Linked DNA regions of Oryctolagus cuniculus. The protein of the gene in region 6 interacts with the protein of the main gene of each other region in a pairwise test. Links are inferred from orthologs where the notes say so. Each region holds a gene or a part of one and is shown on either strand. Other genes may lie near its edges.

What was found.
Region 1: the proteins of AGTRAP (region 6) and COQ8A interact in binary tests that used the Homo sapiens proteins (3 or more experiments, as listed by UniProt). The two-hybrid records come from large-scale screens. The link is inferred for Oryctolagus cuniculus from reciprocal best matches to the Homo sapiens genes AGTRAP and COQ8A.
Region 2: the proteins of AGTRAP (region 6) and ECPAS interact in binary tests that used the Homo sapiens proteins (3 or more experiments, as listed by UniProt). The two-hybrid records come from large-scale screens. The link is inferred for Oryctolagus cuniculus from reciprocal best matches to the Homo sapiens genes AGTRAP and ECPAS.
Region 3: the proteins of AGTRAP (region 6) and MIEF2 interact in binary tests that used the Homo sapiens proteins (3 or more experiments, as listed by UniProt). The two-hybrid records come from large-scale screens. The link is inferred for Oryctolagus cuniculus from reciprocal best matches to the Homo sapiens genes AGTRAP and MIEF2.
Region 4: the proteins of AGTRAP (region 6) and FARS2 interact in binary tests that used the Homo sapiens proteins (3 or more experiments, as listed by UniProt). The two-hybrid records come from large-scale screens. The link is inferred for Oryctolagus cuniculus from reciprocal best matches to the Homo sapiens genes AGTRAP and FARS2.
Region 5: the proteins of AGTRAP (region 6) and MRM1 interact in binary tests that used the Homo sapiens proteins (3 or more experiments, as listed by UniProt). The two-hybrid records come from large-scale screens. The link is inferred for Oryctolagus cuniculus from reciprocal best matches to the Homo sapiens genes AGTRAP and MRM1.
Region 7: the proteins of AGTRAP (region 6) and PIMREG interact in binary tests that used the Homo sapiens proteins (3 or more experiments, as listed by UniProt). The two-hybrid records come from large-scale screens. The link is inferred for Oryctolagus cuniculus from reciprocal best matches to the Homo sapiens genes AGTRAP and PIMREG.

What each region holds. Positions count from the first base shown.
Region 1 is NC_091444.1:67,507,677-67,511,205, forward strand, and holds part of COQ8A (atypical kinase COQ8A, mitochondrial), read right to left. Parts: intron 2,890-3,529; 5' UTR 2,881-2,889; coding exon 2,704-2,880; intron 1-2,703. UniProt on the Homo sapiens protein: Atypical kinase involved in the biosynthesis of coenzyme Q, also named ubiquinone, an essential lipid-soluble electron transporter for aerobic cellular respiration.
Region 2 is NC_091432.1:214,968,994-214,972,522, forward strand, and holds part of ECPAS (proteasome adapter and scaffold protein ECM29), read right to left. Parts: intron 2,166-3,529; coding exon 1,957-2,165; intron 1,150-1,956; coding exon 1,106-1,149; intron 1,011-1,105; coding exon 818-1,010; intron 1-817. UniProt on the Homo sapiens protein: Adapter/scaffolding protein that binds to the 26S proteasome, motor proteins and other compartment specific proteins. May couple the proteasome to different compartments including endosome, endoplasmic reticulum and centrosome.
Region 3 is NC_091448.1:62,264,221-62,268,416, forward strand, and holds the start of MIEF2 (mitochondrial dynamics protein MID49), read right to left. Parts: upstream 2,825-4,196; 5' UTR 2,669-2,824; exon of another isoform or gene 2,445-2,668; intron 1,461-2,444; 5' UTR 1,454-1,460; coding exon 1,307-1,453; intron 1,225-1,306; coding exon 1,062-1,224; intron 935-1,061; coding exon 1-934. Other genes in the region: FLII (protein flightless-1 homolog), read left to right, coding at 3,854-3,916. UniProt on the Homo sapiens protein: Mitochondrial outer membrane protein involved in the regulation of mitochondrial organization.
Region 4 is NC_091436.1:165,173,128-165,177,390, forward strand, and holds the start of FARS2 (phenylalanine--tRNA ligase, mitochondrial), read right to left. Parts: upstream 2,803-4,263; 5' UTR 2,650-2,802; intron 1-2,649. Other genes in the region: LYRM4 (LYR motif-containing protein 4), read left to right, coding at 3,546-3,631. UniProt on the Homo sapiens protein: Is responsible for the charging of tRNA(Phe) with phenylalanine in mitochondrial translation.
Region 5 is NC_091448.1:37,350,427-37,354,705, reverse strand, and holds the start of MRM1 (rRNA methyltransferase 1, mitochondrial), read right to left. Parts: upstream 2,801-4,279; 5' UTR 2,755-2,800; coding exon 1,880-2,754; intron 1,776-1,879; coding exon 1,682-1,775; intron 1-1,681. Other genes in the region: DHRS11 (dehydrogenase/reductase SDR family member 11), read right to left, coding at 3,828-3,869, 3,991-4,056, 4,255-4,279. UniProt on the Homo sapiens protein: S-adenosyl-L-methionine-dependent 2'-O-ribose methyltransferase that catalyzes the formation of 2'-O-methylguanosine at position 1145 (Gm1145) in the 16S mitochondrial large subunit ribosomal RNA (mtLSU rRNA), a universally conserved modification in the peptidyl transferase domain of the mtLSU rRNA.
Region 6 is NC_091438.1:156,693,222-156,696,750, forward strand, and holds part of AGTRAP (type-1 angiotensin II receptor-associated protein), read right to left. Parts: intron 2,386-3,529; coding exon 2,280-2,385; intron 1,547-2,279; coding exon 1,351-1,546; intron 1-1,350. UniProt on the Homo sapiens protein: Appears to be a negative regulator of type-1 angiotensin II receptor-mediated signaling by regulating receptor internalization as well as mechanism of receptor desensitization such as phosphorylation.
Region 7 is NC_091448.1:50,099,734-50,103,019, forward strand, and holds the end of PIMREG (protein PIMREG), read right to left. Parts: intron 3,005-3,286; coding exon 2,909-3,004; intron 2,445-2,908; coding exon 2,411-2,444; 3' UTR 2,395-2,410; intron 2,123-2,394; 3' UTR 511-2,122; downstream 1-510. UniProt on the Homo sapiens protein: During mitosis, may play a role in the control of metaphase-to-anaphase transition.

The DNA.
Region 1 (3,529 bases), on a different chromosome or scaffold from region 6:
TTTCAACCTGGAGTGACCTTGAGCTACTGGTTCATCTGAAAATAGGACTAGGTCTCCCCCAAGTCCTAGAGTTATGCGGGGCCAGGGTCAGGGACACTGCCTGAGGAGGCTATTATTAGGACTGACCGACTCCTGGAGGGAAGCCAGTGGCCTGGATCCCCCATTTAACTGAAATGGAATAACCCCAAAGGGCCACCTGCAGGTCATGCACAAACAGCCAGAGATCCAAAGTCCTCTCGGTCTCAGCTTTCCAAGATATCGGAGGCCCTGAAGAGATCAGACGCACTCTCCTGTGGGAGGACAGAGCCTGGCTGTCACCATCATTTCACCAATGGAGACTGAGGCTGGGAGTTGCCATGACTGGTAAGGCCACGAGTCAGCCAACGGCAGGGCAGGGCTTCAAAGCTGAGGCTTGTCCTCTGGCCACCCCTGGGGCCAACTAACAGCAGATTTGCTGCAGTAGCAACGGGTCGCGTTTGAGCCCACTGGGCACCTCCCAGCAGCCAGTGAGGAGCATGGGACAGGGCCCTGGGCGCCGCAGCACAGGCCCCTCCTCCTGCCCTGTAACTGCCACGGCGGCTGCCCGACACTAAATCACCAGCACTGTGGTGGGGGGGCACATGGGCAGTCGGGGTCGCCCAGCGGGACCCGACACACTGAGTCTACGTGCACACAGCCCAGGAGCTAGAGGCAGACAGGTCCCCACAGTGGTGGAACCCATGGGGAGGAGGGAGCCTCCAACTACCTCAGTGTTTAGGGCACCGAAGGCAGAAAAACAGTCGAAACAGTCTCTTCACCCAGGCACCTCCTCTGTGATAGTGGATGATCACCATCCTGCCTCCAGGGCACGCTAGGCCTGAGGGAGCAGAGGTCAGCAGGAGGCCCTCATCCTCATGGCCAAGGCTGCCCAGTCCTGGCATGCAGCCTCACTTCTGGACCAGCCACGGTAAATGGGGCAACCTCACTTTCTAGGCAAAACTCCCAACAGGAAGGCAACTGCTGCTCACCACAAACAGCACCAAATACAGTGGCTGGGTCACAGCCCAGCCTCAGCAGTGATGGCCAGGGCAGGGACAATGACAAGGATTCTGGTCTTGTCTCTTAATAGTCACAGGTCTCATAGCAAACCTGTTGGTGTCAGCTTCATGTGAGAAATAGGAGTGAGCATCTGGGATCTGGGCTGTCCCGGGCCTAGGTCAGCAGTGAGACACCAGTGTGAAGTTCTCTAAAGAGTAAAGAAACCCATGTGTGGTCAAGAAAACACTGATGCCCGGGACAACAGGAGGGGAGTGGCTGAGCATTCCAAAGCTGCCAGTGCCTAGAGGCAACAATGAGACAGGGCAGGGACAGCAACATGTCCTTTGTCCAGGAGGCCAGCCAACCACAAAACAGAAGGAGGGAGGAGACAGGGCAGCCCCTGCCATGTAACTGCTAGGCTGCATGGGCCCATGCACCTGCACCCATGCCCTCAGGCCAGGGACGCAGGGTGGCAACCCATGCACAGTGCTCTGCTGCGGCCAGCTGGGCTCAGCGTCACCCCTGCAGCACTTGTGTTCACTTAACACCGTGCCTAGCACATAAGAGTCAACGCTCCTGGACCTTCGCACAAAAGGGAATCCCCTCCCCTAGGCAGTGCAAGAGGCTGGAGGATTGGCTGCCTTCAGCAGGGCCGTAATAGCCATCAGCCTGGAAAGGAGCAGGGCGCCCAAGTCAGGCATCCAGAGACACCTGGCAAAAGCAAAGAGGAACCCAGGGCCAGGCCTTGGCTGGGGCTCAGCAGGCCCATGGGAAGAGGCTCCGAAGACTGAGCCAGGCTGATCGACACAGGAGCCCCTTTATAGGCTGCACACATGTGCCCCCTAATTCAAGTTTTGGAACCTAACCCCCATATGACATTAGGTGGGAGGCAATTAAGTTGTGAGGGTGGAACTCACACACACAGGACTCAGGCCCTCTGACAAGAGGCAAGGACTGGCACTGTGGCATAGCAAACAAAGCTGCCGCCTTCAAGGCTAGCATCCCATGTGCCTGCCAGTTCAAGTCCCGGCTGCTCCACTTCTGACCCAGCTCCCTGCTAACACACCTGGGAAAGCAGCAGAAGATAGCCCAAATGCTTGGGCCCCTATACACGTGTGAGAGAGACCCAGAAAAAGCTCCTGGCTTTGGCATGATGCATCCCCAGCCATCGAAGCCATTTGGGGAGTGAACCAATGGACGGAAGAGCTTTGTGTCTCTCCTCTTCTCTCTGTAACTGTGCCTTTCAGAAAAATAAAATAAATCCTTAAAAAAAAAAAAAAAAAAAAAAAAAAAAAAAAAAAAAAAAAAAACAGAAAGCGCCCCTGTCCTCTCTGCTGAGTCAGGACACTGAGAAGACGGTATGTATGTCAGGAAACGCGTCCTCACCAGGTATCAATCTTCTGGTGCCTTAATCTGGAACTCTCTCCAGCCTCCAGAAGCATGACAAATAAATGTTTGCAGCTTAAGCCCCCTTCCGTCTGCAGCATTCTGTTACAGCAGCCAGGGCCTCGCACAGGGAGCCCGCCCCACCCTGGAAGGAGGGGACACGCCAGCTGCTGGGCTCTCTCCTCCAGGCAAGGCCAGCTGTCTTTGTCCTGCTTCACACCCCTTGGTCTCGCCAAAAGCCCAAGTTCCAGGCCTCTTCTTGCCAGGGCCCCTTCCACTTCCTGAGAGAGGCCCTCTTACCTGTTCTGTCCCAAAGACCATGCCAATCTGCTCCACAGCCGTGGACTGTAGGGCCCTGGCTGCCAGGATGAGCTCCCCACCAAGGCCCAAGTGCTGCAGGTGGGTCTCCAGGGCCACCCGGGTCAGCTTGATGAGGCCTTTGGCCAGCATGATGGCATCTCCCAACATGGCAGCCATGCTCCAGGGCTGAAAGAGAGGGGACAGGGTCAGTAAGGGCTCCACACTCATACTGACCAGTTCCACGTCAAACTCCAGCTGTCTGCTTCCATCGATTTCTCCTTCTGAACCAGGCTAAGAGAAAAGAAAAGAACTCAGGCTCAAGGGCCCTGGGTGACTCCCAGTGGCCCACAGCAGGATTCAGACTGCTGAGTGGGGACTGGAGGACACTTGCCACTTCCCACATGTCCCCACATCCAGGCCCCAGGACATCCTACAGAGAACCTGAGGTGCAGAGAGGTGAGTGACCGCAGCACACCCAGGCCTCAGGGCGGGCACTCTGACTTCTCTTGGTCCAGTGCTCTTTCCTCTGGACCAAACCATACACTGGGTGGGACCATCCCTCTCCTAAAACTGTTCCCTGCAGGGCCCAGTGGGCTGAAGTCCTGGCAGTCGCAGCTGCCTGTCCTTCCCCAGCCAACTCTGCCCTGCCCAGCGAAGCCCTTGACAGCTGCTCACAGAGTGCAGGACGAGAGTCCCTCCTACCCCCTCAAGGGCAGCCAGAGTGCGTCTGTGCCCTTCACAGGCTGCGTGATGGTTCATTCGGGTGCCCTACCTGGAGCGCCATCTACACTGCCCTGCCATCTGGGTTCTGAGCAGATCCCGTCTT
Region 2 (3,529 bases), on a different chromosome or scaffold from region 6:
GGAAACAGAGGCCAGAAGCAACTCATCCAGACAACTGGTGACAGAACCTACTAAGACACCAGTCTCCCAAATCCATCCACTGTCATTATGCATGTAACAAATTATCTAAGCAGCCTAATTACTGAAAGGAAACAACTGCAAATTTGCAACAAAAATGTTACAAATGCAATTTCAAATAGTTAATGCTTCACAAATAGGTAAACTACATTCTTCTTCCTCTCAATGTCCAACCTTTAAACATGAGTATTCATTTTCCAAATGACACCAGTTTTGTTTTGTTTTAACCAAAATCCCTCAGTGCACAGCAGAGGCAATCGCCATGACACACTGGCTTCCTGTCTTCACTCTCTAAGGTAACTGGGGTGGATTCTGCAGACACACCAAGGCAAAGGTCATTACGATACTACAAATCCACTTGCCCCTTTCCCTAGCTTCAATTGCCACCAAGGGTGGCCACATGGCCAAGCACTGGCCAATGTGATATGACCAAGTACCAGAAGGCAGCTTCCAGAACTCTCCTTAAGAAAGAACTGACACATCCACTGTGACTGCTTTGTCTCCTCTGCCAGCACCTGCTGAGAACAAAGACAGGACAATGCCATTCCCCAGGGATGGCGGAGTTGGGAGCTGCAAGGAGCCAGAATCCCAGAAGACTTTGTGAGGCCCCCAACTACTAGTAAGAGACAAACTGCCCATGATATTTTGAGATTTTTCTGCTATTTGCAGCTAAACTAATACTAATAAAACAAGCACTCACGACACAGGAAAATTTTTTTTAAGTATAAACCAGACGAGAGAGAATATAAGTGATTATTACCTTCTTTATGAGAGGTATGACAATGTCAGAAAACTCCTGGAATCTGTCTTCTTTGGTGGCCTTCAAGACATCAGCTGCACAGCTGATTGCTACAATCTTGTACTTGAGATTCTCTTTGCAACACTCCTTCAGAACAGCCTGAAGAATTTCATTCGTGCTGGGTTGATTGGGCACGGACTTCTCTAGCTCTGCACTGTACGATCCACAAAAAATAAGAAAACCATTAATAAAGGCTGAAGCGTTCAGGCTCCGTTTAAGCAATGCTATCTTGAGGGATAGAACAGTTACCTGCAAGCTGTCACCACACAGGCAATGGCTTTCAGTAGCTCTTCCTAAGGAGTTGGTAGAAGACAAAATAGCATTAACTCAAACATGTCATTTACACTTTCTCCATGTTCACTCAACTTGGAATAGTTAGTAACTGTGATAACAGAAATTCACAAGAGTCATCTTATCCTTAACGCACTTCACTGTCACAGGCACACCCACTGACTCTGACTCCCAACCACGGATGCTCTCCATTTCCTAGGAAGGGTCTTCAGAAAGTTCTTGGAAATGCACATTATCTTTTGATTCCACTTCCCCATGAGTTGCTGACATCCCCCTCAAGGCCAAGTGAACAGATGTGACCCAGGTCACACGGGCACAAGTACCACAGAGTAAGACACATGTGAAGAAGATACTGGATAAAGGAATCAGACAACTCCGCATCATTGGCCACCACTGACTTCTACATGCGATTCTTCATTATATTCAGATGCTACCACAAGCTCATGTGCCCTGCAGACTGTCCACTGCATGTATCTTACTACAGCCCTTGTGGAAGAATGACTGCTACTAACTTACAGGCCCTACGTGTGAAACAAGCTTGTCTTGCTAATCATTTATGCCCAGCCTGGACCTGATCATAATGCCAACAAACACAAAATAATGACAACCTGGTTTAAACAACTTGGAGGCTGAATATGTGAAATAAATCAATCTCCATCATTACTCTGTATTAGTCAGACACACGGGTTACACTTTCAGATGAACTATCACAGTTAATTAGATGAAGTGCACCCGTTTATAGAAAACAAAACGGAGTCATAAGCGTTTCAGGAACCCTGTGATGTAACAGGGCACGAATGGTTCTTTACCTTCCCGGCCCACGTTCTCCCAGCCAGGCCTTGCAGCAGTGCACTCAGGACCATTCCTAGGTAGGGAGGCACTAGGGAGCTGGTTTGTTTTGCAATTGATGCCATGGCAATTGCACCCTGGGCTTTCATTTTCCAGGACTGAGACTGTAAAGCCTTCTGGGTAATGGTAATCAACTCCTGCAGGTATAATCGGATGCCACCAAAGGAACCTAGGTTTTAAAAAGTAAAGTTAAAATAACTTGTAAGTGACAAGAAAAATTAACTGAATTTTCTAAGCCTGAATAAAAGTCAGTGACCATCAGTCGAAAGCAGTAATTCTCCACAGTTAAAATACATGCCACCCTCTCAAAGGGAAAGACAGTGAGTGGTGCTGTAACTTCTTTTTACAACAGAACAACTTTAAGAACTTGCATACATTTGCAGGAGGGTGTTATGTAAATGGTCATCATCTATTAATATATGTCAAGGGGAAAAACACATCTGAGAAACTTTACCCTGAGGCAGGCATTTGGCCCACCACTTAAGATGCTCACATCCAATACTGGAGTGCATGGGTTCAAGTCTTGCCTCTACTTCCAAACCAGCTTCCTGCCAGGGCACACCTTAGAAGACAGTGGGTGATGGCTCAAGTACTTGGGTCCCAGCCACCCACATGGGAGACTGAATTCTAGGCTGCTAGTTTTGGTCTGGCCCAACCCCAGATGTTCCAGGCATTTTGGGAGTAGATGAGAAGATGGAATACACTTCTTTTTTTCAAATTTATAAAAAATAAGGAGGTAGGGCTGGCGCTGAGGCATAGGTTAAGCCTCTACCTGCAGTGCTGGCATCCCATATGGGCACCTGTTCAAGTCCCAGCTGCTCCACTTCCTATCCAGCTCCCTGATGATGTGCCTGGGAAAGCAACAGAGGATGGTCCAAGTCCTCAGGCCCCAGCACCCACATGGGAGACCTAGATGAAGCTTCTGGCTCCTGGCTTCTACCTGGTTCAGCCCTGATCACTGTGGCCATTTGGGGAGCAAACCAGTGGATAGACGACCTCTTTCTATTCTATATTTCTTTTTTTTTTAAAGATTTTTATTTATTTATTTGAGAGGTAGAGTTACAGACAATGAGAGGGAAAGACAAAAAGAAAGGTCTTCCTTCCGTTGGTTCACTCCCCAAATGGCCGCAACAGCCAGAGCTGCGCCGATCCAAAGCCAGGAGCCAGGAGCTTCTTCCAGGTCTCCCACTTGGGTGCAGTGGCCCAAGGACTTGTGCCATCTTCTACTGTTTTCCCAGGCCATAGCAGAGAGCTGGATGGGAAAAGGAGCAGCCGGGACTAGAACCAGCACCCATATGGGATGCCGGATCCACAGGCAGAGGATTAACCTACTGTGCCACAGTACTGGCCCCTCTCCTCTATATTTCTATCTTTTGAATAACTAAGTAAATCCTTTTTTAAAAAGAAATAGGAAGCAAGGAGTCAATGCTGTGGCGTAGCAGGTAAAGCCACCACCTGGCAGTGTCAGCATCTCATTTGGGCACCGGTTTGAGTCCCGGTTGCTCCTCTTCCGATCCAGCTCTCTGCTAGGGA
Region 3 (4,196 bases), on a different chromosome or scaffold from region 6:
AGGCTCTGGAGCAGCAGCTCCAGGGCCTGCAGGAAGCGCTCCCCCAGGGCCGCCTCGGTCCAGTCCACGTCCTGCTCCCCCGCCCGCAGGACCACCTGCGTCAGGGGCCCCCGGCCCAGGCGGGCCAGGGCGGGGTGGCCACGGCAGACGCCACATAGCAGCAGCAGCAGCCGCCGCCGGCTGCCGGCGTCCTGCTCATCCAGGGCCCGCAGTCGGGCAGCCTCCTTGGGGTACAGGTCGTGCAGCCAGAGGTTCCCAGCCAGCCCCTCCAGGGGCCAGGCCAGGAGCTGGCAGTCGGCGCCCGTGCCGGCCCCGGCGACGGCCAGGAGCACAGCCACGGTGAGCTCCAGGCGTTCGTGCCGCACCTCCAGCAGCAGCTCCTCCGAGGCCACGCTGGGCCGGATCAGGCACCCGAGCAGCCCGCTGATGGCCGGCCAGTTGACGGAGGCGGTGAGCGCCTTGCGCAGCAGACCCAGCAGGAGGCGGGAGGACAGGTAGCCGCCCACCAGGAAGCGGTCCCAGGGGCTGCTGCCGCGGGGGCGGAACTCCAGCTGAGTCCTGCGCACGGCCCAGCAGCGAGGGTCCCTGGCCACGGTGTCCACGCCGGGCACCAGGCTCCAGAGGCCCGGCTCCAGCGCCAGCGGCACCGAGAGGCGCACGTGGTCCTGGTCGGCGGCCCCGGCCTGCAGCCCGTCGTAGAGCGGCCCGCCGGGCACGAGGGCCCCAAAGGGCAGCTCGGGAAACTTGTTCCGCAGGTAGGCCTGCAGCTCCAGGGCGATGTCGCCGGCCAGCTGCTTGGCCAAGGCCACCTGGGCCTCGGGGATGGCCACGTGGGCCTGCTCGAATGCCAGCAGCTTCTCCTGGAAGGTCAGGCACAGCGGGGCCGGGGGGCTGAGCAGAGGCGGCGGCTGGGGACCGGCGTCCGCGGGCCCCTCTGCAGAGGCAAGGGGGACACGTCAGAGCAGCCCACAATGCACTGCGGGAACCCGACCGCATCCCAGCACCCTGGCCACACAGCTCCAACAGCCTGAGCAGGGACCCGGGCGCAGGCTCCGGCTCACCTGGCGTGGAGGGGGCAGGGGGCCGGCGTGGCTCGGGCAGGCTGAGGGCGGCAGGTGGGGGCCGGGGCTGCTGGTGCGGCGTGGCCTTGAGCAGGCTCAGCTCCGTCCAGCCGTCCCCCTTGGCGTCATCCTCGTCCCGGGGGCCGGTGGCCCTGTCGATGAGCTGCGGGCAGAGCGGCGCTGAGCAGGGCACCTGGCGGCCGGCAGCCATGACCAAGCCCCAGCCCCCGCCAGCCCGGCCTTACCCGCTTCACGGCCAGTGTGGCAATGCCCAGCACAGCCGCGCCGCCCACACCCAGCACCAGGCGGGCGTTGGCCAGGAGGAAGTCCACGGCGCCGCCCAGGCCCTCGCCGCCACGCCGCTTCCCCCGCTTCTGGGAGAACTCCGCCATGGTCCACCTGCAGGGGAGCCGGGGGCGCGGGGTAGCTGCGGGGTGGGGGTGGGGCGGGGAGGGCACCTGGCTGGGCAGGCACAGGGGCTCTGGGGTCCACAAGGAGGAGCTTCTGGAAGATTCCTCGTGAGTCAGGGGCTGCTAGCAGGGCTTCCTGCACGGAGCCGGGGGAGCAGCCACGACCCCTCCCCAAACCGGCCAATAACCCAGCCCCTGGCAAAGGGGGCTCACACGGAGGCCCCTGGCAGAGGGTCCGGGCTGCCAGGAGCCATCATGTAGAAGGGCATTGAGCAGGGAACTCCAAAGATGAAGACCCCAAAGAGAGGGCCCCCTGGCTGTGGCCGGCTCAGCACAAGGTCAGGGTAGGGGATGGGGGGGCAGGGCCTCCTGGCTGTGGCCGGCTCCTCAAGAGGTCGGGGCGGGGTCGGGGGGTGGGGGTTGGCTGCAGGATGCTAAGCCAGATGCAGGCCTGGAGCCACAGCCCAGCTGGTAGGAGGTGAGCAGTGCCCGAGTGGAGGCAGAGAAGGCCCACGCCCACCCTGACCTCGGGCCCTGAGGGTGCAGGGGACGGGTGGCCAAGGGCACCCGGGAGCCTCAGCGTTGGACGGCGAGGTCACGGCCCGCCCTCCTGCTGCGCCCTGGGTGCCCTGCCCCCCCACTGCCCGGGGCAGCTGGAGCCCGAAGCTCTGTGTGACTCAGCCCGGGACACCTGCCTCTTAGCGCCAGACTAAAAATAAGACGGGGCTCCGGCGTCCTGGGGGAGGTCACGGGCCAGCCGGCTGACCCCCGCGGCCCCGGCCACGGACCAGCGCTGCCATCGGCCCCCAGGCCTCCACGCTGCCAAGTGCGTAAAGCACTTGAAATGCCCACCCCTCCAGCGCACGCGCACCTGCCCCAGCGAGGGCTCCGTGCCACCTAAGGGGTGGGGGGCGCGCAGGAACCGAGCAGTTAAAAATAACCCGCAAGCCGCCGGCGCTGGGCCCGGGCTTACCAGGCCGGCGCGGCAGTCCCTCGGTGGGCCGGTTCACAGGCGAGGACAACGGAGGCCTTGGGAAACCCAGTCAAGCACCCGAGCCGGGAACGGCAGGGCCGGGACTCGAACTCGGGGCTCACAGGAATCCTCCCGGGCCCCGCCCCCGGACGTGCGCCACACCTAGGGCTGGGGGACCCGGGATGCGGGTTGTCGGGGAGGCCCCGCCGGGCTCCCAGCCGTACCTGCGTCGCGGCGTCCACACACCGACCGGACCACGCAGCGGGCCCGCCGGGACCCGGCGCCGGAACCCGCCTGCGGATGGAACGTGAAGGACCCGGGCCCCGAAGGCCGAGGCGCTGGCGTAGGCAGACGAGCAGGCCCTAGCTCCAATCGGAGCGCTCGGCTTCTTCAGGGGCGTTCCAAAACACTGCGAGGTTCGGCCAATGAGGGGCCTGCCACGCCCCTTCTCCGCCCTGCGCGCTCCCTCGGAGGCGGGGCTTTCCGGGGGCACTCCGGATTTAAAGGCGCAGGGCTGCATTATTGGGCCCGCAACGTTTGCGTGGTGCCTGCTTGGAGCCCACAGAGGCGCGGGGGATGCGTGCGCGTGTGCGTGTGTGATGTGAGCCTCCCGCGTGGAGGAAGCTGGCTGGGCCCCAGTTTCCTTCCTCTGGCCGGGCAGACGGGTGGTAGCACCTGGTCCAAAGGCCTGCACGCCGACCCCTAAGTCACCTTTGCGGGAGCGCCTTAGCACCTGTCTGCGCGCGGGGTAGGGGGTGTGCCGCCGGCCCCGTGCGTCCCTGGGCCTGCCCTCTGTCCGCCTGGGCCTCAGTTTCCCGTGCCGTACAATGGGGACGTAGGCAGCGCCCCTGGGAAGGGTGGTTTGCATGCGGGCCTTAATGAGAACCACCTGCCACGCACCAAGCACCTGCTGCGTGCTTCGAGCCGCACGTGCGCGCGTGGTCACTCGCTGCCGGCCACCACCTTGGTAGGGTGAGGAAGGTGGGGCCGCCCCGGCTCCGCACGGAGACCGCCGGGGACCCCTTGTGCGCGGACGCAGAGTGCGAGGCCCCCAGAGCGCAAGGCCCCCGGGCCCCGGCGAGGTCCCCAGAGCGCAAGGCCCAGGGCCCCGGCGAGGTCCCCAGAGCGCAAGGCCCCGGGCCCCGGCGAGGTCCCCAGAGCGCAAGGCCCAGGGCCCCGGCGAGGTCCCCAGAGCGCAAGGCCCCGGGCCCCGGCGAGGTCCCCAGAGCGCAAGGCCCAGGGCCCCGGCGAGGTCCCCAGAGCGCAAGGCCCCGGGCCCCGGCGAGGCCCGAGGTGCCGGCGGCGGCGGGCGCGGGCGGGTTAACGGGGCGGAGTCGGCGCTGGCCCAGCCCGCGGCTCCCGAGCCGCCCCCAGCGCCCGGCCGGCCCGGCAGCGAGAGCGGCGCCGCCATGGAGGCCACCGGGGTGCTGCCGTTCGTGCGCGGCGTGGACCTCAGCGGCAACGACTTCAAGGTGAGCGGCGATCCGGGCTCGGCGCGGGCACCACCTCGCCCGCCTCCGGCCACACTGCGGGCGGCGGCCGGGGCTCTGCGGGCCTCCCCACCGCAGCCCGCAGCCGGCACCCCGGGCCTCCGCCCAGCGTCCCCCCGCGGGAAGGCCGAGCCCGAGCGGCGCGGGCCCAGGCCGGGGGAGGGCGTGGGCGCTGCGGGCCTGCGCACCGCCGCCCCGGGGGTCTCACGGCCCAGCCGGCCGCTGACTCAGGGCCGCCGCTGCCTTGGCTGCCCAAGGGCGG
Region 4 (4,263 bases), on a different chromosome or scaffold from region 6:
CTTAATACACAGCAATCTCTAACTTACACATCGTTCATCTGGCTTCCCCTATCTGTTTCCTAAGAGGAAAGCTTTGGTTTCGGGCAAAGTCCTGGTTGAATGTCTTTTTTGTACTCCCTTAATATCTGGAAATATCACCATGATCAAAGCACCTGTCAACAATAAATTACCGTTCACCTAGTTCCCCATATGCTCATCAATGTAACTACATCTTCTGACGTAAAGGCTGGCACTTCAAAATGAGCAGTGAGTGCTGCCGGAGGAGGGCAGGGCTTCAGCTTGCTCAGCTGTGCGAGCCAGTGAGCCTCTCTGTGATGTGTCTTCCAGCTCCACAGCCTGTCAACATGGGAGATCAGCAAAAACGAGTTTGCAGTGAAGATCCAGGTCCACGCAGGGGCAGGATAACTTCCATGTAGTACACGAGTTACTTCTTCCAGACAACATTTCCTTTACACGTCATTTTGGTCATTAAGCTGAATGTTAAACCGCTGCTTATTATGGTTAGAGAGATTCCTATTCACAAAGTGTAAGGGTTTACTGACAAGGCTGTCTTTTACGTCAGGTGACACATGGACCTACGTAGTGAAGAACAGGCGGCTGAGAACCACGGACAACTGAGAATTACGAAAATTTTCACATTTTCAGGCCTGGGTCATAGTGGGTGGTTACCCCTTAGTTTATGGTTATTACCCAAGAAAAACCCCAGCTCAGAGTAAAAGGTACATTGAAGGACATGTGAGTAAGGTCCAGCCTCAGCTGCTGGTCCAACTCTATCTCAAATAGACTTTTTGCTTGAAATATAATAAAGATAGTTGCCTCTGCAATGAAGATACACAAAAATACAGATTTCGCTTCAGAATGCATTTTTTATTCTTTCAAGACAATGACAGCCAATACACCAGTAAATCGTTTCAAGTTAAACACTTCTGTAAAGCATAGTATCAACTGGTTTTAAAGGGGAAATTTTTTAGGCTAATTAAATTCAGTAGAATGAGGTTAAGACGACCAAAAAATAACAGGACGAAACGATTCTCAAGTTGGGTAGCTCCCAGAACCAAAGCAACCTCTGAGAACTCCACCACCCATCTGATGGGACAACGTTTACAGAAAACGAAGAGGAGCAGAGAACAGGATCCACCTGGCTGCAGCTTACTCAATCAACACACACTCAACTGGCTTCAGCCTAAGTAGTAATTGGCTACACGGGCCTCTACAACCAACCCACAGTCATTTACTGTGATTAAGTTTCTATTGGTTTGGTCTGTGGGCCCAGTGCAGCAACCTGGTCCAAATCCACGGTGTCCCACAAACTCAGCACTGGAAAGCTGTCACTTTGCTAACCTCAACCTCTCTGTCCTCACAGGTGACCCAGGCTCCCCAAATAATGTAAACATTACGTATTTCTTTAGACAACGCTCATCACCACAAAGGCCATTTAGTACACTACACGTATCAATCACTGAATTCACTGATGATTATGCATAAATAAAGCAACTGCATGAAGAATTTACGCCAATCTTACTTTCAGATGAAAGCAAAAGACAACAATGTAATCTCCAGCACTTTTAAGGAAACCAAAATTATTCTGTTTTTCCTTCTCAGTGTGATGGTTAGCTTGACCCGTAACTTACATTACTGGCGTAGTTTTTCCCAGTTGTCACTTATTTTACAGCATCAGCACACAACAGCGTATCCTAAGAGGAAAGAGGTCTGGGCCTTATTCTATCTACTTGGTCCTGGATCCTCTGAGAAACGCCTAAAGGAAAACAACTATTAAAAGCTCTTGCCTCTTACCTGAGGCAGTGGCCTGACAGTTTTGCTAGCATGTTTTAAAATCAGAAACAGAAACCTGCTGTGAGACGCCTAGATGTCTGAAAACTTACAGAAATCAGACAAGAGGCTTAAAAGGTTCTTAATGAGAGTATATTCTATCCGCTCTCTGAAACAATGCCATTGCACCAGGACTTGGGGCAAGGACCCAGGGCTGCAAATACGCCAGAGTGCGGAAAAGTCAAACAGGTGTTTTCTGCAAATACAAGTTGCTGCTGCACAGAGCAAGTGTCGCTTAAAGCCCAGAAATACGACAGACGCAGACAACCGAGGCTCTGTGACGGCGCAGACGGATGCCCGTGCAAACTTGGCTTTCACGTTCGAAGACACTGCTTGCGGTCTTTCGCGCGCAGAAAGCCGCGGCTCTTCCTAACGATGGTTATATAAAGATTCCGGAAAAGGAAAGCGCTTTGCAACCACGACACCTGGCTCAGGACTCCCTTCGTCCAGCCTCGAGCACAAGGACCAGAAGGTGCGACTTTGTCCACCACGTCACGAGGCGGCTCAGCAAAGTTAAGTCTTCTGAGATAAACCCACGGGAGAATACCTGCTTAGCTTCTCCCCTGGGACGTCAAATGAGTGCCCGCAGCCCCCTCGTCCCAATTAAGCACCAGCGTCTACAGTCCAGCTGCCTCGCCTTCCTAATACATTTATTAAATTACAAATTTCCGAGGACTCTACACATCAAAGTTTAAAAAAAAAAAATCACCAGCCCCCAGCAACATCCCGGAAATGTGAAACGATACGTCCAAAAGTCAAGTCGTTGCTACACCTGCGGCCCATGTCACACCCCGACGCGGCAGCGAGAGGGGCACTCACCCACAGCTCCACTGGGAAACCCAGAGCCGTGAGAGTTCAAATCAGAAGCGCGGCAGATCGCCCACTCTCAGTGGTAACCGGCGGATGCCCAAACGCAGGGGCGCCCGTGCGTGCTGGGCGCCGCCATTTTGACGGAGAAGGGGCCTTGTCTAGAGGCCCCGAGGGAGGCTGCCCCGAGCGGAGCCGGATCGCCAAGGGAGTCGCCATCACCCAGCCTGCCACCTCCACGCCCATCCCGCCGCACTCTCCCCACGCAATGAACGCCTTGAAAACCAGGCTCGCCGACCGGGGTCGGCCCAAGTCAAATTTCCCCGCGAAATCAGCACCGCGTGTCAGGCAGCGCGGAGGACAGCCTCCGGCGGCGGGGGTGGGGCGGCGGCGCGGCGAGCGCTCGGTTACCCGGGCAACGCGGCCCTCAGCGCGCCCGCCGCTGTGACCGGGCCCTGCGCCCCGGGACGCCAATGTCGCCGCCACGCACCCGGCCGGTTCGCGAAGGCGCCCCGGGCTCGGGCTGCGCGCCCTCAGGACTCGAGCCTCCGACTTCCGCCTCCGAGGAGCGGGGCTCGGCGCCAAGGCGGCCCCAGCTCTCCGCTCCCAAGGCCTAGTGTTGCCCCGCAGGCGGCCGCCTTCCCGTCCCTCTCCCGCCCGCCGCCGAGCCCCGGAGCGTCCGGGACGAGGCGCGGGCGCCGCCCCCTTAGGTGCCCGAAGCCCTGCCTGCGCCCGCCTCCCCGGCGGTGCACGCCCAGGTCGAGGCCCGGCCCGCTAGCAGGACCGGCCCGCCGCCTTGCGTTTGCTCCGTGGCTCTTGCGCACGCTGCAGCTTGGTGGCTCGGGTTCCACTCGGGACCTCCGCTAGGAGGACCCGTGTATTCGTATTTTTTTTTTTTTTAATCCAAAATGGCAGCCTCCAGCCGCGCACAAGTGTTAGATCTGTACCGGGCGATGCTGAGAGAGAGCAAGCATTTCAGCGCCTACAACTACAGGTGACCCGGCGGGCGGCGGGGGCCGGGGAGGGCTGCAGGCGCGGGTGTCCCCCCGACCCAGAGCCCTTGGCGGGCGGGGAGCCGCCGGGGAGAGCGTGACGCCCTGCCCGAGTGCGGCGCCCTGGCGCCCCGGCGAGAGCCGCAGCTGGCTCGGGTCTTGGGCGCAAGGTCAGGGCCAGGTGTGGGTGCTGAACGCGCGCGCTGCCGGTGGTGAAGACAGGACCAGTGCGCTGCGGGCGCGGGGCTCTTCAAAATGCACACCCTGGAAAAAAAAAAAAGTCACGGCTTGGTTTTCAAGTGACTGCCTCCGGATAAGTTGTCTTCCTTTTATTTCTGTTTTCCCGTGAGCTTTCTGAAGGGCCCAGGTGTAGGAAGGTGGCCAGGGTGGAAGTGGCCAGTTGATAGCACGTGGCCGAAGCTGGAGGCTCGTCCCGGCGCTCCCTTTAACCGGCTTAGGTATCTTAATTGGCTCCTTCGGTTGCAAGAATCAAAGCCATACCACTGGGGGCCTGGCGAATGGGGACCCGTTACACAGCAGGGAGAGTGGGGAGGGGGTCTCAGGGTTCCTGGAGATGAGTGTGTGTGCGTGGGACAGGGATCCCACTTACAGGGCCTTCATGCCACGTGAATGA
Region 5 (4,279 bases), on a different chromosome or scaffold from region 6:
AGTGCTCAGGAAACGTCAAGTCTGAAACGCCCATGAGACGGCAAAGGGCGAGCTGGGGGGTGGGGCAGGCCACTGGATGAGCGACCCAGGCTGGGAGGTGCACGTGGGCGGTAGCGGAAGACAGGCGACGTTTCGTGTCTTCAGACGAGTGGACACTCCCAGAAATGAGTCTGTCCAGACGTCGAAGGGCTGAGACCTGGGGCCCGCTGATGTTTGGCGGTCAAGGGGTTCAGGAGGAACCACCGAAGGCAACTCCAAGGGAGTGCAGAGCAAGGCAGGCGGAAGCCCAGGTGACCAGCGTTTCAAGGAGGGAGGCACGGTCATCTGTGCAGACACTGTGGACAGCGCGAGTCAGAGAGGACCGAGAAGGCACACTTGGCTGTAGCAACAAGGGGGGCACTGGGGACCTGGACAAGGCTTGGGCTCAGTATGTGATGGGGGGGCACGTATGCCTGCCGGCCACTGAGAGAGAGGGCGGCTGCGACAGGGGCGGACCCTGACAGCAGCGGGGCCAGCACCGGCCCCTCCGGCCCCTCCGAGCAGGTCTTCCCCAGCAGCGGGAGGGCGGACCGAGTCCTGGCCCGGATGCTGGCAGGAAGAGGTCGGGGTGCCGTCTGGGGCTCACAGGAGGGCTCTGCCAAGTGTCTCCCGTCTTTTCAGGGGCTACTTGTTCAGGGGCTGGAAGTGAGGCCAGCGAACACCGCTTCCGACCAGGCTTGGCCAGAGCTCCTCCAAAGGAGGCTCCTATAAGAAGGTAAAGCCAGGAGACGCCTCCAGACACACTCGCGGTTCTGCATTAAGCAGCCTCGAGCTACACGTGGTGATGAGGCACCTGCAACGTGGCTAGTCCAAACTGACATGTGCTGCATGTTGAATTTGATACATATAACTACAAAGTACTCTAATAATATTTACAATGATTATACGTTAAAATTATAATCTAATACTGGATGGATATTAATTTTAATGCTGGATAATTCTGGAAGAAACACATTATAAGATTATTTTCACCTTTTTTTATTTTTCAACATAGTTACCAGAAAATCTTAAATTACGTATGCGGTTAGTTATTGAACACCCTTGTGCCACACACACACACACACACACACACACACACACACGCCAAGCTCGCCAGAGGGGCTGCCAAGTGTGGAGCAATACTGCCCCCTGGTGCCCAGCCAGAGAAGTACAGCTAAAGACAGGTGCACGGACACCCCCCCTCCACACACACACACCACGGCCAAGAGTTTCTTTAGATGTGGTCCCTTCCTGGGTATCAAAGGCTAAAGCTCCCTTTGTTCACAGATCCTTTCGGGTAGTGCCCCTACTCCAGGGGCCCAGCCTTCCTGTCCACTTGCTGCCCACGGCTGAATAACAAGCACTTGCTAAGATCTGCTAGGTAGGGGATGAGACGCCGCAGTAGGCTTACAGAGGAGGCAGAGCTGTAAGCCTAGGGAAGCAGTGCAGGAGGCAATAACGCGCCAAGCCCCCACCTTCAGACAGGGCTCGCTCTGTGCCTGAAATACTCCGGGACGCTTCCCTTCCGAAAGGGGACTACGAGGCCTTAGCAAGCAAAGCCAACAGGTCCCCTGCTCTGTCCCTTCCCCCGTTATCTGCTGGCAGAACGCCCTGGAAGAGGCTCGGCTGGCCTCACTTCCACACCTTCCCCTCTCGCCATTACCTGTAGAAAACCGGCCAGGTCATCCGTAGAGAACACGTCCATCACCTCCATTGCCCCTGCGCTGGCCTTGCTGACTACCGGGGTGAGCGGGCAGCTGCAAGGTGCCCCAATCCCCGCATTAGGCTGGGCAGTCTCGGGCCGGCGCCCTTCCCGTCCCGGGCGCTTCCCACTGCACACGGGGAGTAAGGGACATCGTGCCTGCTTCTCCGGCTGGTGATGACCTTATCCACTCCAAGGAAGTGAGCGGAGCGCAGCACGGCCCCAAGATTCCGGGGATCCTGGAGCCCGTCGAGAACGAGCCACAGCTGCTGGGGGTCGGCACCTGGGCCCGCCCCCATGGTCTCAGTCCAGGGCTGGGGCTGCAGAGGGCTCACCTCCATGCAGACGCCCTGGTGGACCTGCTGGCGGCACAGGGCGTCCAGCTTTTGCCGTCTGGGCCGCAGAACCGGGATGCCCCGCGCCTCGGCTGCCCGGAGCAGCTCCGCGCGCTCCCCCTGCAGCCCGGCCCTCCCGGCCTGGAGCAGAAGCCGCGCCACGCGGCGGCGGGCGGCCCGCAGGGCCAGGAGACACGGGGACAGGCCAAACAGCAGCTCTAGCCGCGGAGCCGGCGCCAGGTCATCCAGCCGCAGGCGGCCGAGCTCCTCCCCACCCGGCCGCACCCCACGCCGCGCCTCCTGGGAGACAGCGCGGGTCACGAGGCGACCAGAGCAGCCCCGGGTCGCGCCCCGGACGGCCGGGAGCAATCCCATGGCCCCGCTGCGGTTACCCGCTCCCTGGGGCTCACTCTTGGGCACTGGGAAGCAGGGGAGGCGACGGCTGCCCCAGCCGGAACCCAGCTCCGAGACTACCCAGAGCCGCTCCGCAGAGCCACAAGCCCGGCTCCATGCCTCCCGAGCTTCCGCGTTCGGGCGGCCCCGCCCCCGGCCTGGCGGCGTCTCGCGCATGCCCGGCCCCCAGGGCGTCCCCACAGCGCCCTCTGCGGGGCTGGCTGAGCGGCGCTCCAAGGTGTGGCTCACTCTGCTGTGACCTTCGAGGTCCCAGGAGGTTTGGGGCGAGGGGGCCGGGGGCTGCATTTACCACACACCAGCAAGAGACACCTCAAGAGGATGAGATGATCGTCCCGTTCGACGGAGCCAGTCTCGGCGCCTCCCTCCCCGCTTCAGGGGCTGGTGGCTTCCCCCAGGCTTTTTGTCACACCTCCTGTTCCTTGGCCACTGATTGTCTTCCAGCGTGGCAGCTCTGGGCCTGTGACTGCCTGCTGACAAGCTAGCTGGTGCCCTTGGCCTACCCCCAGGGATCCAGACAGGAGCCACCCTTTCCAGCCCGCCCCGTACTGCACCTACTCCTGTGTCTGCACAGTGCTGGTGCTCTTCTGCCTCCAGCCTTGCACACCCGGCTGCCTTCTCTGTGTCTTTGGCAAATTCCTGCCCATTGTGAAGATGCAGCAGGAACACCCTCCCCCCCAATCTTGAGCCCACCTGAGACCATCCACACTCAGGGGGAAGGCAGGACCTTCCTTAACCACAGAGCCGCAGAACGGAGACACACTTCTGAAGCCGAGGCTGGTTGGTGTGATTTTTCTTTAATGATCACAGTGAGATCCTCTGGGAGCTGGGCCTGACACTGCTGCCACAGGCAGAGGTGGTGATGACCCCAGCAGCAGCCCAGATGCCAACACTGGAGGGAGAGCGGGGGCAGGGAGAGGAGGAAGCCTGGGGCCCAGGATAACCACTCAGATAGAAAGTGAGGGCCTCCCTCCACCACCAGCACCCTGAGGGCCAGGGGCTGGCGGACAAGAAGACAGGAGCAGTCCCGCTTTGGGCCACAGCCCCGTTCCCAGATCAAAGGGAAGAGACTGAGGACAGCAAAGGCGAAGGAGCCAAGGTGAGGGGCGAGGGGCGAGAACAAGCCCAACAAGCCCGACAAGCCCGACAGAGAAATGACCTGGGCACCACCTCCCCGCCCCAGCCCATCACCTTTGCTATGGAAACAATTTGACAAAGTGATACAAAAACCTCCAACAAATGTTCTAGCCCTTGGGGGAGTGGGGGCAGGAACGGGACCCAGGGTGCAGCAATCAGAATCTGAAATCCAGAGGCAGGAGCCAAGCCTCGCGGGGTGGGGAGGGAGGAGCTCCCTGCGGGCTCTAGGACATCTGCTCCGTGGGTCTCATCTGGATGTCTCCGATCTGTGGAAGGCACAGGCGGGGGGCAGCCCAGACACTCTCCCCGCGCCCGTCCGACCTCCCGGCTCCCCTCCTCCGGGGACGCCTGGGCTCCTCCAAGGTGCGGACACCCGAAGACACTCACCTGGACATGCGGAGGGGTGCTGAGGACGTAGATGACAGCCTCGGCCACATCCTCGGCTTTGAGACACTGAGAGCACCGGGGGGGGGGGGGGGAGGGGGGTTGAGACAAGGACAGAGTGGACCCCACCCCACCACCCCCGCCCCGTTCCCCTCCACCACCAGGGTTCCTCCCGACACTCGCTCCCGCTCCGGCCCTCAGGGAAGGGTGACAAGCTGGCTAGGAGGATTCCCTCTGCCTTCACTTAGGGACCGAGCAGGGCCCCACCTTGATTTGCTCATAGGTGGCAGCT
Region 6 (3,529 bases):
ATGAGCCCACAAGGCACTGTTCAATCCCCCCATGAGCCCACGGGGCACTGTTCAATCCCCCCGTGTCTCCACGGGGCACTGTTCAATCTCCCCATGAGCCCACGGGGCACTGTTCAATCCCCCCGTGTCTACACGGGGCACTGTTCAATCCTCCCATGAGTCCACAGGGCACTGTTCAATCCTCCCATGAGCCCATGGGGCACTGTTCAATCCCCCCATGAGTCCACGGGGCACTGTTCAACCCCTCCATGAGCCCACGGGGCACTGTTCAATCCTCCCATGAGTCCACGGGGCACTGTTCAACCCCCCCATGAGCCCACGGGGCACTGTTCAACCCCCCCATGAGCCCACGGGGCACTGTTCAACCCCCCCATGAGCCCACGGGGCACTGTTCAATCCCCCCATGAGTCCACGGGGCACTGTTCAATCCCCCCGTGTCTCCACGGTGCACTGTTCAATCCCCCCATGAGCCCACGGGGCAGGTACTTTCATCGCCCTCCCTTTGCAGGTGAGGACACCGAGGCTCAAGGGGTCAGAGCCCTGCCGAGGTCACACAGCCTGGCTCAAAGCGTGGCAGCAGGGCCCGGGGAACATGCTTCCCAGCAGCGCTCAGGACCCCGGCCCACGGATGCCAGCCACAGGACATCGCAATACCATATCCAGGAGAGATATCCATATCTGGATTCTTGCACAGTGGCCATGCCCAGAGGACGTGAGCCAGGTCCCTGGCAGGGTGGTGGGCCTCCAAGCACCCTGCACATTTGTCCTGGGATCCTGAACAAGTCCCAGTCTGTGGGCCTCAGTTTATTCATCTGTGCAATGGGCGGGCATTCCACCCTGGGGCAGGTGCAGGCACTGCTGAGGTTGCCAGGGTAGGGGCCCCAGCTGCTCTCCCAGGTCAATCATGGGAAACTCAGGCCTCTGTTCCCAGGAGTAGAAAGTAGACGCCTACACCCCACCACTCCCCACTTCTCAGGGGAGGGGGAGGAAGTGAGGTCATGTATCAAGAGGGCAGGAACACTGGCTCAGCACCATGAGAAGGGAGACCGGTTCTGAGAGCGCAGGCGTGGGCAAGCGTGGGGCTGGGCGGGGCCGTGGTGTCTTTGCTGACGCTCCCAGCCCACCCAGCATGGGCTCTGCACAGGACCGGGGAGTCCCCATGTGCCGGAGAGGGGGGCCAGGGCCAGGAGCAGGTGGGCACCGAGGGCGGGCCTCAGGCCGCAGACTGCCCAGAGCTGCCCCCGGGAAGTGAGCCACACCCCAGCTCGGCCTCAGGCTGACAGCTGGCAAGGGTCGCGTGCCTGCCCTTCCCGGGATGGGGAGACCGAGCGGCCGGGGCGGCGTCCTCACCTGAGTGGAAGAGGTGCTCCCCGCCGCGCTCCTGGTACATGTGGTAGACGAGGTAGCAGGAGACGGGCTTGAGGAGCAGGCTGAGGATGGCCATGCCAGCCCCGAAGCGGCTGGTGTCCGAGAGGCCGGACCGCGGGTAGAAGACGCCGAGGTGGATTATGTCCAGGACGACGGTGGCCAGCAAGCCACCCAGAAACTGCAAGACACGCCATCCTGTGACAGCCCGCCCCGCCCCCGGTACCCCTGCTGCCACCCCACTGCGGCAGCGCGCGCCTGGCCGGGTGCTGAGGACCTGCTGGCAGACCCCTGCGGAGGGGCTCCAGTGGGGATGCCAGGGCCCAGGGCTGGACCCAGGCTGCTGGCACCATCACAGCCCCAGCCCTGCCCACCTCCCCGTCACCCCTGGCGCCGTGATGGGGACCAGGCTTGGTTCCAGAGCCTCCAAATCGGAGGCCCCCTGCAATCCAACCCATCTGTCTCCACCACAAAGAAACTCCCTTCCTGATCACCCTGAGAGGCCACGGCCTCAGCCTGAAGAGTCTCCTGCTGGGCGCTCACCACCTCCCGGCACAGCACGTGCTGGGAGCCCCACACCATCAGCAGAGCTGTGTCGCCGATGTCACGAAGCAGTGGGCTTCCCTTGTGGCCACATCCCTCCTGAGAGCCCCAGAGGCAGGTCCCAGGGTCATGAGCGACTGCTGGGGACAGCAGGCACTCTGGGGTGCCACGTGGAGCCCGCGTCCTCCCTGGGGCCCGCAAGAGCAGACCTGCGTTCTCAGAGCGGGCCAGGCCAGTGAAGGCCAGGCGGGCTGGTAGCCCAGGAGGCTCAGTTCCGAGGCTGCACCCGTGCACAATGGGGCCCGAGGCGGAGGGAGCAGACTGGCTGGGCGAGGGAAACACGGCAGGGCCCCGGCTCGGCCCAGGCTCACCATGCTTATGGCGTCAATGGAGTCCCGCTGGGCCACGGCCCACACGCCCAAGGCCAGGACGGTGAAGTTGGCCCAGGCGTAGGATCCTGAGAACACGATGCAGCCCCTGCAGGAAGAGGCACCTTGGTCAGGTCAGGGGGCCCCCACCCGGCAGGCGCCCGCCCCTCCTGCAGCCCCTCCCTCCTGCACAGGGTCCCAGGCCTCCTGAGAAGCCGTGCAGTCTGCGAGGCCGCTGGCACCGTCTCTACCTGCCCCCTAGATCCTGAATCCGGTCACATGGTCCCATCCTCGCCCGAGCACCAGTGGCCACGGCCAAGGCCAAGGCCACCCCACACTAGTCTCCCTGCTCCCACTCCTGCCCCCTGCAGTCTGTTCTCGAAATAGCAACAGTATCGGCAATGAGACAGGTCAGTGCCCTGCTAAAAATTCTCCACTGGTTTTCTGTCGGGAATAAAACAGCTCGGCCTCTGAGCACGCGCCCCTCTGGTCCTGTCAGTCTCAGCTCAGATGCTAACTCCGAGACCCCTCCCCTCCCCACCCTCCTCGCTGCCTCTCAGCACGTGCCTGCCCGGTTCAGTTTTCAGGGCGTGGCTCCACCACACTGCTGTCAACTCAGTGAGAGCCGGCCAGCTCACAGGGCACCGGCTGCTGTCTGCAACAGTCCCGAGTGCGTCAGCGTCACCCGCCTCCGTGCTCTGCGTCAGTGACAGCTCTGGGAGGCGGGCACTCTTCTTACCCTCGTCTTGGGGATGAGGGAACGGAGGCACAGGGAAGCTGAGCAACTCGCCAGGGCTCGCACAGCTGCCGAGCGGCAGGGCTGGGCTTGAAGAGTCGGCTTACAGCCGTGTTCCTGCCCCTCTGCTCGGCTGCATGCAAGACCCAGGCAGCGCGGTCCGGGCTGGCCTGCCCTCTCACCGTGCCCACGACGCGGCCTCATGTGCGGCAGGGTGCCTCTTTTTTTTTTTTAAGATTTTTAAATTTATTTGAAATGAAGAATTAGAGAGAGAGAGAGGCAGAGAGAGAGAGAGAGAGAGAGAGGTCTTCCATCCACTAGTTCACTCCTCAAATGGCCACAACTGCTGCAGCCAGGCCGATCTGAAGCCAGGAGCTTCTTCTGGGTCTCCCACATGGGTGCAGAGGCCCAAGGACTTGGGCCATCTTCTACTGCCTTCCCAGGCCATTAGCAAGGAGCTGGAAGAGAAGTGGAGCAGCCAGGACTCGAACTGGCACCAGAGAGGAGGTCAGCGATG
Region 7 (3,286 bases), on a different chromosome or scaffold from region 6:
CCGCAGAACTGCACTTGCGGCTCTCGGGAATGGCCTCCCCACGCGTAGCTCTGTGGCCAGAGCAGACCGGCTGTTTCCTAGAGAACCCTTCCAGCCCCTGGCGCACCTGCTCACAGCAGCTGGGGGACAGCTCTTCCTGCCTGACCAAAGCTCCTCGTTTTTCACGTGGCATGTTTGTTCTTCCCCACGCTGGGGCTGTCCTGGCCAAGGACGCCCCTGCCACCTTCTTCTGTCATTGTCCTGTTGGGGTTCAGGGTGCATTCCTGGCCAGGGCCTGCTCTTCCAGCATCATGGATTTTTTTCCCCTAAAGATCGCGACTCCTCTGTTAGGCTCCGCAAAATATTAAAAAAAAGAAAAAGGTAGATTCCTTTCCTGCATTTGGGTCGACAGCCCTCTGTCTTGGTGCCTGGCTACAGTGAGGGCATTCGAAGCCCAGAGATTTCTAGTGGAGAAGGGGAAGACAGGGGGCATGGGGGCTCTTAGAAATGAGGGGAGGACCAGATCTCATGTGCTGTTTTTTTTTTTTTTTTTTTTTAACTGCATTTTTACCACTCTGGAGCCTGTGCCAGTGTCCTACAGACAAAACACGGCACCAGTCTTCCCGCAGCAGCGGCACCCCGCCAAGGCAGGTGGACCCGGGGCCAGAGCTGGTTCGGGTTTTGCATCCCTACCATCTCGCCCAGCGCAGGTGCAGCCCCGCCCAGGAGGGGCTCCCTGCCGATGAAGGAGCATCACAGTCCACCTGGCCTTAAACAACCAATTTCTCACCGAATCCCAGGGGGGTGGGGGGCCAAGTGCCCTGGAAACCTAGAATCTTTGGCTCAGCCAAAAACAAACCTCCTCCCCTCCCCTTCCTTTCTGGGCTTGGTGGGGGGAGGGGACTTTCTTACACATCCCAGCTAGGATCAAGTCCAAGCAGAGAGGCCTGGTGGGCTCTGCTGTCCTTGCTGAGACAGCGGGGAGGGGGCGAGGGAAGTCGGCCAGGCCCTCCAGGACGCACTGCGGAGGGAGAGACGGGAGGAGGGCTGCTCGCGCGCGGGGACCCCCACCCTCGACCCCGCTGTCCTAATTGTTTACTCTGTGGTGGCAGCCAGTCCGACCTTGTCCGTGGCCTGACCGTTCCCAAGTGTGTGACGTTCAGTACTCTCTGTGCCGGACGGTTCCGTGGTGAGAAAAGGTTTGTTAGATTCCTTGCGGCTGCCTGTACACAATCCGTTAGAACAGAAAATGTAAAACACCAGATTTCTAACATGACAAAAAACAGCATTATGGAGTTAAAAGATTTTTACAACGGGTCTCGATTTTGATGTGAGCTGGTTTTTAACAAATCTCAAACGTTGTCGATTAAATAAAAACCTTATTTGCCTTTAAAACGTACTCTGCTCTGAGCTCAGTTGAGGCGCCAGGCCCTGTACTTGTGTGTCCCTTAGCTGGGGGCGGGGCAGGCCAGCTTGGAGGGGGAGGGCTGGGAGGCACCAAGCGGTGGGGGTCACGGGCACGGAGTCTGATGCACAATGAGTCTTTATTAGGAGCAGGCGCTGTCGTCTGGGAAAGTCGTACACGGATTCCTTTCTAATAAAATGACAAAGCAGATTTCTTAAATAACTTACAGAGGGCCACCCTCCCTGCACACCCACAGTGCCCTATGCTGAACGTATCAGTAGGTGGCCGGGAGCCCAGGGTCCTAGCGCCCGGAGACATCTCCTGTCCCTTCCTCCAGGGCCCTGGTGCGGGGAGCAGGAATGGAAGCTGGGACAACCCCCCAGGGACCCTGCTTCTGGGTGCAGGGCCCAGGCCCTGCCGCACCCCCAGTGCCTGCGCGTCACACTGGAGGAAGCAGCCCCAGGGCTCGAGGAGGGGATGAATTTCTAAGCCCGAGAGTCCCCTGGGGGAGCAGAGCAGAAGAAACAATTTCTTCCATGTCTGCAAGGCCCCAAGTCGCCGCTGGCTGTGGCAGGCAACAGGCCTAGAGGTGGCCAGTGCAGGGGAGCTCCGGGGCCCTCTGTTCGTCAGGTGCTCGTTAGCAGCAGGCTGGAGGGTTGGGGCCTCCTGGGGGCTTCCTCCAGGGCCTCACGGGGTGGCCCAGACGTCCTGGGTGTGGTGCCACACGGGGCTTGTTCCCTGCAAGACAGAGCTCCCTTGGTGCCCTTGCTGTGTTCAGGGCAGGGCAAGTGGGGCACACGATGGCTGTCCCCCGGTGTGGGGGCCCCTGTATGCTGGGTTAGCAGTTCTGGCCCCGAGCAGCCAGGGGGACTGGTACAGTCCCTGCTCTCCTGTGCCCATCCACTCTGAGGTTTTCCAAAAAAGACTCGTTTCTTCAAGTATGCATGCATGCTCACGCGTGGAGGTGGGGGAGAAAGATGCTAGAAAGATGTGTGGGCAGAGGGCCTTACCTGCAGGGCACCGTCCTTAGTTGCGGAGGAGAGAGACGGTCATGTCGCCACTGGGGATGGGAAGGGGAGGGATTGACGCTGCTGGGGGCTGCAGGTTTGAGGGCCCCGCCAGCCTGGAAACGTGGGGGTTCCACGGCCACTCTGGGCCATCATTCCAATGGGGAAATGGCCCCAAGTTGGTCCTGAATGCACAGCCCGGGAAGCCGCAGGCAGCCATGGCCCTCTGCCCAGCACCGCAGACAGGCAGGGCGTAGAGCCCCAGAGAGCACTGGTGGAGGAGCAGGTCTTCCAGGAACCCAGTTCCTGGCCGCACGTGAGGCCCGGCTGATTGAAGCGTGGGCTGCCAAGGCCCAGGGAACCCTCCCCCACCGCCACACCTCCCCTCCCAAGGCTCTGTCCCTTCTCACGGCTGCGGTCAGGAGGGGCAGGGGCTGGCCAGAGCCACCCAGCAGGTCCGAGCCACAGCCAGATGCCAGCCTGCAAAGACGGAGTGGCTCAGGGGCTGCCCACTCACCTGTCTTCAGCCACTATGGCTTTATCCAGCTTCTGGGACAACTTCTGAAGGAGCTGAATTCCTGCCCCTGCAGGCTCAAGGTCACTGTCAGACTCACTGCACAAGAGCAAAGCCACACGGGTGGCAGTTGGAAACCTGTGACGGGAGCTTCCCCCCAGGCCCTGGTGAGCTGGGAATGCCTCACCCCGGGTCCCTACTCTAAGCAAAGGATGTTAGGGTGACTTGAGCATCTGGCAGAGATCAAGGCCCATGAGGGCCCAAAGTCACAGGCAGATGATTTTGTAGACAAGTGAGCCCTGCTACTCTGCAGCTGGAAACTGAGCTGAGCCTCTGCCCGTTACAGACCAGGAAGCTAAGGCCCTGTGGGATTTCTCCCAG